2 separate regions of the Mus musculus genome follow, and region 1 is reported to be linked to region 2. The links are microRNA targets in miRTarBase. Many come from high-throughput screens and were not tested one by one. Region 2 holds a microRNA gene; the other region holds the end of a gene's coding sequence.

The links. Region 2 holds the annotated microRNA mmu-miR-540-5p (CAAGGGUCACCCUCUGACUCUGU, at 2,952-2,974, shown strand). A microRNA usually pairs through its seed, bases 2 to 8, with sites in the 3' UTR of a target mRNA and lowers its output. Matches are read on the target gene's strand: a 7mer-m8 pairs with bases 2 to 8, a 7mer-A1 pairs with bases 2 to 7 and ends in A, and an 8mer does both.
Region 1: miRTarBase lists Abi2 as a target of mmu-miR-540-5p. Seed matches in the 3' UTR shown: 7mer-A1 at 1,840-1,846.

The regions. Positions count from the first base shown.
Region 1 is chr1:60,477,660-60,482,052 of GRCm38, forward strand. It overlaps Abi2 (abl-interactor 2), which reads left to right. Exons shown (of 12, transcript NM_001198570.1): 12 at 344-3,504. The coding sequence ends at 348. It also overlaps a transcript of Raph1 not described here. Among named protein-coding and RNA genes, the nearest start is that of Abi2, 70 kb to the left of the region's middle.
Region 2 is chr12:109,583,134-109,587,526 of GRCm38, forward strand. Mir540 (microRNA 540) reads left to right here and starts at 2,947; the gene lies at 2,947-3,013. Mir337 (microRNA 337) reads left to right here and starts at 2,656; the gene lies at 2,656-2,752. Mir3544 (microRNA 3544) reads right to left here and starts at 2,740; the gene lies at 2,680-2,740. It overlaps Mir665 (microRNA 665), which reads left to right and starts at 3,181; the gene lies at 3,181-3,274. It also overlaps a transcript of Rtl1 not described here.

The DNA.
Region 1 (4,393 bases), not on the chromosome of region 2:
GTACTGAGGTGAGCTTGTTGGATACGAAGGTTCCTAAGGATCTCCAGCCTTAGGCTGTTTCAGAGCAGGAAGTCAGACCAGCTATTACTGTTCTTTTGATATTCAACCCCCCCACCCCACCTTTAATTTTTTAGCAGAGACTAGTGTTGTCAAGTCTCTTGACAGTCACTGGACTGGGAATGAAAGGCTGCTACCATGCTCTTGGACCATTATCAATGGCAGTGTTAGCTGATGCCAAGTCATTTTCAATCTCTCAGCTATAGAAAAATAAGTCTCCTCCTGATCTGAAGTGATTAGACTCTAAAGTGGCACTCCTAGTAATATTCTGAATTTTGTGATTCAGAGTGAAGAGTGTGCTGGAGAAGACTAATAGAATAAAATACTTGCCCAGTCACACTGAGGAAAATCAGTAGTATGTATTTGAAACTATTGGCATCTCCCTCATCTACCGAAGAGGAAGTAAAGCTGTTGTAATCCAGATGCAGGCCTTGTACATGCTGTCTGGTGATGCTAGAAGAACAAGCGTTGTAGATGTGAAGAAAAGCAGACTATAAGGCACTGACACTCCACTGGTAGATCCGCTATCTGCACCTGAGGCTTCACTGTGCAACTCGGACCCAGACAGTGTTCTTCTCAAGACCTCTTTTGCTTTAAGGTTGTAGGTTTTGTTTGTTTCAGACATGGTGTCTTCCTGCTCTAGCCTCTCAAATACTAGGATTGTAAGGAGGAGCCACTGTACCAGGAGCAGCAGGCTGTTTTGGTTTTAATTTTATTTTAAAACCACATTGCACATCAGCTATCACGCTTTTAGATGGTTTGTTTTTTTTGTTTTTTGTTTTTTTTTGTTTTTTTTTGGATTTTTTGAGATAGGCTTTCTCTGTATAGCCCAGGCTGTCCTGGAACTCACTTTGTAGACCAGGCTGGCCTCAAACTCAGAAATCCACCTGCCTCTGCCTGCCGAGTGCTGGGACTAAAGGCGTGCGCCACCACCGCCCGGCTCACACTTTTAGAGTTTTTTTAGATGCTTTGGATTCTTTAACTTGCTTCTAGCACACGTTCCACTTCATGGATTTGTTAGGTCATCTTGACTGTCTTCAGAATATATCCCTGAAGTCCTCTGAACCTTTAGTTCCATTATGGACCCAAGCAAGACTGTATATGAACGTTTAACTCTGATTGTATTGGTACATGGAAACTTTTGAAAAATAGTTGCACTAATTATTTATTTAAGTAGCCTTTTGTTGAACAAGCTTAGTTGACTAATAAGACGTTTGGAAACCCAGCAAACAACTAGCTTTTGTAGTCATAGAAACAACTGGTGGTAGGCACCAGGAATACAGTTTATCTTCTGGACTCCTGCTGAGTTGGGGTTTGCAGAAAACACTTGTGAAATCCTTTGTGCTGAAGACTTGCACTGGGGGTAATCCATGGGACAGATGACTCCCTCCCCCTTGTATTATTGAGTACTAATAGGGTTTAAAAACGAAACACAAAATACTCTATGTTGGCCTTTTCCCCCAATCTTAAATTTTTTCAATTTTGGATTCTATGAATTGTTTTGGAAGGATACTCTGTAACAATGAGCCAGGCCTACAGTAATCGGAGACTTTTAATGTATGTAATATTTTATAGATTGCATGCTGTTAATACTGTGAGGTTATTTCCTGTTTTATTGTAAATTTTCCCATTTATTTGCCCATAAACTAAAATATGGTTGATATTAGGAATTTTAAACAAATGTTGAAACTTTGCTGACCAGAATGCAACCACTTTACCAAGACACAGGTACTGAGGGCTCTGGTCTATCCTGAAATGTCTGATTCTGTGCACAGTTCCTTTACCCTTAAAAAAAAAAAAAAGAAAAGACTGGACATGTCTCTTTTTTTGCTGTTAATATTTGAAGGTCCAAGGATCTGAGTGAAAATACATTCTTGTGTTTGATCTTATAGCCAAGGCAAATTAGAAACAAAAATAGTGCCAATATTTTGAAATCTAGACCCAAGATTTCAGCCTGCTGTGTTTGGAATAAATATGAATTTTTAAAGATGTCTCCTACAGTATTTTCCTTTTGGCTACTTCTGTCTTCCTGAGAGGTACTTGTCCTCATCTAGGGATTAGCACAGGACTGCTGAGTTTGCTATTCTTAAGTCACTGGGTGACAATTTTTACCCCCTCCTTTCCTTACCAGTACTACTGCTGTTTATATTGCCTGGCTAGAGACTGGTTTATGCATCTTTACAAATGATGTCTACCATGTAGTTGCCTCGTTAACAGTTTTATGTTGATTAAAGATGATTCTTACGTGTGGGACATCAAAATGATAGCTTGCTTTTATCTTTCAGTTCTCATTTTCTTTTAAGGTCACCTTTCTGCAGTACAGCTTGCTTTACTCTTTTCTCCTCATGGAGAACATGGTGTCTCCCGAAGGCCGCCTTTACGCCTGCAAAGGGCTTTGGTGGAAGAAATGGTTGGTAGACTTCCAAATCTTTGAAATGAATGGGAGCTGTTTACTTATGAATAGCTTTGGCCAGAAACTCCTCCCGAAGGTGACTTGATGTTTCCCTAACACCATTTACTTGGAATCAGAATTTTTGAACTAATAAGCTTTAACAATGTTTGTCCCGGTCTCACCTGAGTGATGCTGTGTTTTAGATAAGCAGCTAGTTAGTTCTTGACTCAGTGCTCGGTTCTCTCTCCACCGGACCAACTGTTGTAACTAAGCGTGCTGTACTTTTCTTTAGAAATAGAGTTCTATCTGTATTCAGGATTATACTTGAAAAAATATGCCATGTTCTGATTAATAACCATCAAAGTATTCAGATTGCTTAAAGGAATTCAAGTGCAACCTGCATTCACCCCTTCTAAAACTTAATTCATAAATACCTTTCTATAAAGCTGTGTGTAGCAAGAATGCATTGTATTTAGTTCTATGCTGGCAGGAACAGAATGGAGCACAACAAAGTACACAGCCTTACTTACGAGAGCCTTACAAAGTTACTAAATGAAGACATTGAGCTGGCTATCTAAATTTACTTTATGCTCTTTGTTTTATTGAGAATCTCTATTTAAAAAAAATCAACAAATGACAGGGCCTAGCTGTGTAAATGACCTTGCAAAATATGTTAATTTTTTTGTAAAAAAAGGATTATTTTCACATTAAAGTGAAGCCTCTTTCGCAAGTTCAGAAATCTATGGGAAAGCAGTTTTTAATCATATTTTATGTCCTATACCTTTTTTTCTTAATAAAATGGTTTACAAAAAGAATGTAAACAATTTATGATCTGGCAGTTACACTAAGGGTTCCCAGAGAGTTGGTGGTACTGAGTAAAAAACCATTCAGGCAACTTGAGCAGACAACTGTTGTCAGTAACATTCCTTGTGTGCGCCATTAAGCACCTCCAGATGAATGAGGGACAGTCACTTAATTTTTAAATTGTATTCGGAATAATTACTGCTGTGTACTAAGAACTTGACCCAAATAAAAATCACACGAAGTATATTGCAGTGTCTTGTAGAATCATTTATATATTTACTACTTCTTTCTAAGGTGGTTCTAAGCATTGATGTACTGTTCAGTTACGTAACATTTAAAAAATTCAAATACTGTTGGACTTCTTGCAAGTTTGGTCTCTGAAATATTTTGTTTTAAAGACAGCTTCTCATTTTAGTTATGAACACGGCTTTTTCCAGATATAACTAAATTTTGTTAAGTGTAAAATTTTCCATCATTGGAATGGGGTTTTAAAACAAAGTGTGGGTTAAGATTCCAGAAAAAATGACTATAGAAGTTCTCTAGTGATTTGAGTGATGTGCAGTTTATCTCCAGAGTGAGGATACTACAGTTCTTGCTGCCTTACAAGCCCATTGTTCTTCAGTGCCTTTGTCACTTCCATGACACATAATGTGGAAACTGGAAAACTCAACTAAAACACATTTTAAAGAAATGTTTTCAAGAAAAGGATTTCTCTGTAAATAAAAGGGTCTTTTTGTCATGAGTATTCTGGTGTCTAAAAATAAATGGGACTCCAGCCTTTTGTTTTTATTAATTAGGGTTTGGATTCACACATTGAGGTGTTGGAGATTGGGAGGGTGCCATCTGTTTCACTGTCCTGTCATTCTGAGTCTACTGTGTACTTTTTTCAGAGCCAGGGTCAAACACTGACGACAGATGGTGAATAACTTTTTGTTTTATTATAGTTTGATGGTAAATGGTAAGGAAATGTGTAACCTGAAACTAAGTGTATCCATTTGATATGGCAATCCTAATACATAATTGTATTTCTAAATCAGTGTGTGTGTGTTCATATTTATATCCGGATAGTGAATGTAATCGTGTTATGAATTATATGTAGGCATATATGAACTTGTCAGAATTACTGCTTTTGTAACACTT
Region 2 (4,393 bases):
CCTCACTGTGCTATCCTAAGTCTTTCCTTGGCCGTGTGTCCCACAGTTCCTCAATTCTCCTTTGTGTTAGGCTAAGTCCCTTTTCAACAGTGGCACTCAGAGTTATGAGCTCTCTACCCTCGCACAAGACATTTGTGTCTCTTTTCCAAGTGTTTCTCATCTAGACCCCATTACATGTCAAAACTTTCTACACCTATGTCACACACAGAGCCCCTCCCACCACCCATGAATCACAACAAGGGTCCTGAGTCACACTGCGTCTCATCTCTCCACGGGTATCACATTCAGCTCCACTCCCCTACCTGGGTCAGAGTAAGTTTCTCTTCCCTATCTTTACATGGTTTCCCACTACACCTGCTTTGTCTTGGACAGACCCCTCCCATCAGGCTGCACTTCCAAGACCCTCTGTGTTCATGTGTTAACATTTCTTATGTCTTATTGCTGGCCTCACACTGAGTCCTCTCCTCTTGTCATCCTGTGTTAGGGTTAGGCTATTGTCAGCCATGTGTCTTAAAGAGAAAATTCCATAATGGGGCACGCTTTGCCTAGCTCCACCCATATGTCCTGAAGAGCACCATTCCTCTACATGTGTCATGCTTAGCCTAACCCTTCCTACGTTCTGTATGCCCCCTCTCACACCTGTCGTGGTCACCTGAGTTCTACCCATGTGTCCTAGAGAGAGAACACCTCTCCCCACGTGTGTCATGCTTAGCCTAGCCCCACCCGTGTGCCCTGTGCACCCGAGCTTCATCCCACTTACTCCCCATTCACCTTAGGCCCCTCCCTGACTCTGAGCTCCTCCATCGTGAGAGGGCCCCTAAATCATGTGTCCCATAGCCCTCGTTCCTTTTAGTCACCACAAACCCTGCTGGTGCTCCAGATGCGGTACACGGAACTCTTCTCCTCTCGCTCTCTCTTCATGTTGGGAAGCCCCACCTCTGCACGCAGCACGTTGAGACATCCACCCCTTGCCTTGTGACATGGAGCGCTCTGCCTCTACACATACCACACTGTGACGTGCATGTCCTCCAGGTCACAAAGCAACTCATAGGTGTCACATCTAGTCCTTCTCCCCACTTGTGATGAACACTTTCCTTGACAGATGTCACACCGAGCCCCTATTTCCTCTATCAGAGCCCCTCCTCCTTATGTCCCACATGCAGCCCAGTCTCTTTCTCAGGAGTCATAGGCTCTCCTGTACAAGAGTCATACTGAGCCCCTCCTCTTTTTATGTGTCATGTTACCCCTCCTCTGCACATCACATTTACATTTTTTCTCCCCTGTACCATGGATTCTCTCCCCCATGTATAGCCTTGGACCACTCCCCATCCGCTAGATTTAATCCCTTAATCTCTCCATATGTTACTGACACCCCCCTGTGTAGGTAGGCATCATGGGATGTCCCTGTTCTTTTCTTTATGACATGAAGACCCCCTCTTTGCGTGGGATATCATATCCTTCATCTCTCCCTTGTGACATACGTCACCCTGAGACCCTCCTGCTTCCCGTGAGCCATGTCCCTATGCTCCCATACACATACATGTCCCTTTGCAACCCTCTTCTGCCCTGGATGATGTGCAGCTGTGTTCCACATGCTGCCCTGAGCCCCCCTTCTCTCTCTCCCCTGCCCCACTGACATCTGCAGCATCTTACCACAGCATTGAGCTGCCTTAACCCTTTGTCATTCACATGTCGTGTGCAGCTCCCTTCCTCCCTGGCTTAACACCGAGTCCTCCCTTCCCCACCTGTGTTCACCTGTCTTCTGGCCTCCCATCCTTACTACTCCCTCCCACCCCCATACTACCTCTTTATACCCTGCTCTCTGAGACTATGCTGGGACAAGTGTTTGTTGGCAGTTGGTGGGTGTGCCAGACAAGGAAGAGAAGAGCACAAGTCAGGAAAGATTTTTTTTTTTTACTTTATTCATATGTAAGGTGATACACATGTGCCATTCAAGCTGGCCATGGTGACAGAGGCCTGTCAATCATAGCCACACTTGGAAGCCTGAGGCAGGAAGATGGAGAAGTCGGGATCCACTCTGGATTACACAGATCCTGTTTCAAAAACAAACAAACAAACAAAAAAACTAACAGGCAAGCAAAAGCAGTTTGTGGTTTTTAGTTATTCATGGAGGAGTGTAACTCAAGTTGACACTCAAAGAACCTGGGGAGCGGTTGTTAGCTGTACCTGCAGTTTGTCCCCTCACCACACTGAGTAGCTTTTAACCCATGCATCTTTTTGGGGGATCCATCTGGGGCGTCTAAGCTCCTGCTGGTTCCCATGAGTCCCTTCTAGGTCTGCAGAGGAACCCACTGGATACTCGGGATGGACCTTAGCAGGACACTCCTGTGACCACAGTCACCCTTCCTTCCCTCTCCGCTTCCCCACCCCTCCTTCAGTGCTCCCTTGCCCCTCCTCTCTCCCTCCCATCCCTCTGCTCCCTCTCCCCCCTCCTCATCCCCTGGATTGGCTCCAGTCACTCCATGAGAGTTTATAAGAAGTGAGGTTGGGCAAGGAGGGTAGATGCTTCCACTGTGCTGCAGGTGCCCTAGGGCTGGCTGGCCTTTGGTTTCCTTCCTCTAACACTAAGCCCTGGGAGTCTGTCCTACCTGTTGTCTGTGCTTCTTGCCTTGCTTTTTCAGGAGAGGAGGGTCCCAGTGTAGTGAGAAGTTGGGGGGTGGGAACGGCGTCATGCAGGAGTTGATTGCACAGCCATTCAGCTCCTATATGATGCCTTTCTTCACCCCCTTCAACCGCGTGAGGCCTCCGGACCCTCCTCCGCGCACCTTGGGCCGCTTAGGGACGCGTCTTCAGCTCGCTCTTTTCCCCTGGCATGCTTTCTCGCCATTCTCCACAGTTCCTGGAGGGGAATACCCGGGGCTGGGCCATACCTGAGATCATTCCTTGGCGGGGGAGCTATACCCCTGGTGGGACATTCCCTGGGGCTGGGCCAAGGGTCACCCTCTGACTCTGTGGCCAAGGGTAGACAGGTCAGAGGTCGATCCTGGGCCTACTCTGGGGCTCCTCCCACTGGGATTCCAGGAGCCGTTCTCTCCTGGAGGTCCTCTGAGGGGACCCAGCTCCTAGCAGAAAGGGTGGATCCTTGAGAGATGGGGTCTTTGTTACTAGAGCAGGGCACAGGGCTGAGACAGGGCAGGGCTGAGCATTACCAGTGCTCCCAGAACAGGGTCTCCTTGAGGGGCCTCTGCCTCTATCCAGGATTATGTTTTTATGACCAGGAGGCTGAGGTCCCTTACAGGCGGCCTCTTACTCTCTCCTTGAGCCCTTCTGGAGACGTCTCACCTCATTCAGTTCAAACTCTGGATCCCCTAAGGAGTGCAGAAGATCCCTGTTCATCCTCCTCCCAGGCCGGGTGCCCACAGACACTTCAGTAGCACAATGAGCAGCTGGCGTAGAGTCTGAACCCCAATACCTAGGTCATTGCATGCATACAGGGCCCATCTCCATCCCCACAACACCACCATTATTAACTGCATTTACCAGCTATGGCAGCCAGCCCCGGCACACAGGAGCACCCTGAGTGAATAGCCTGGAAGCTGTGAAAGGATTTGAGGGCAGGACAGGGAGGACCCAGGCCACACCCAGTCCCCCTCCCCTTCACCACTGTCTCTCCCTTCCCTGTCCCCCCCTCTGCCCCCAATCTCCTTCTTCCTACTTGTGCTCCTGCACGGTCTTGGTGGCAAGATGGTCATGCGTGTCTCTCAGCTCACACAGGTGGATCAAAGTCCAGATGAGGTTTGCTGCTCAGGTCTCAGATCGTGTCTAACGATGTGGTCCCCTGGGCCCAGCACCAGGGCTTAAGGTGTATGGGACAGTTGAGGGGTGGGTAATATTTTCTTTTCCTTTTCTTACTATGGGGGTAGCCCAAGTTAGCCCAGGTTACCCAGGCATGTGGAGATCTCTGCTCCAGCCTGGTGAGGAGCTGGTAAAACTCTGGACTCAGGGTCCTGTGTGTGTGCTGTCACTGGCTCTGGTACCTGCAGGGACATCTTATAAGGGGAAGCAATGGAGAGGACAGGGAAGGTGGGCAAGGGAGGGCCCCTGCTCCTCTTTGTTCCTGGATGCTGTCAGAGCTCTCTGGTTGGGGACTGAAGCTGGGAAGTGGGGGCAGCTCCTTGGTGGGTGGAGTCTGCAGCCAGGGCCTGGCCTCTGGTTTTCACCTTGACAGGGTTGGAAGTGATGTTATCATCCCCTAGCAGGAACTTTCACACCAATTTCTTTCTTTTCTTTTCTCTTCCCCAGGAGAAAAAAAAAGGTTTGTGTTGTGTTTTTCAATCTCTATAAGTGGCTCCGCCGATAACCTGATAACCTACCGTTTTAGCACGTTTTAGCACGTCACCAGCTCTCTTCACAGTCCGGACCACCTCCTTTT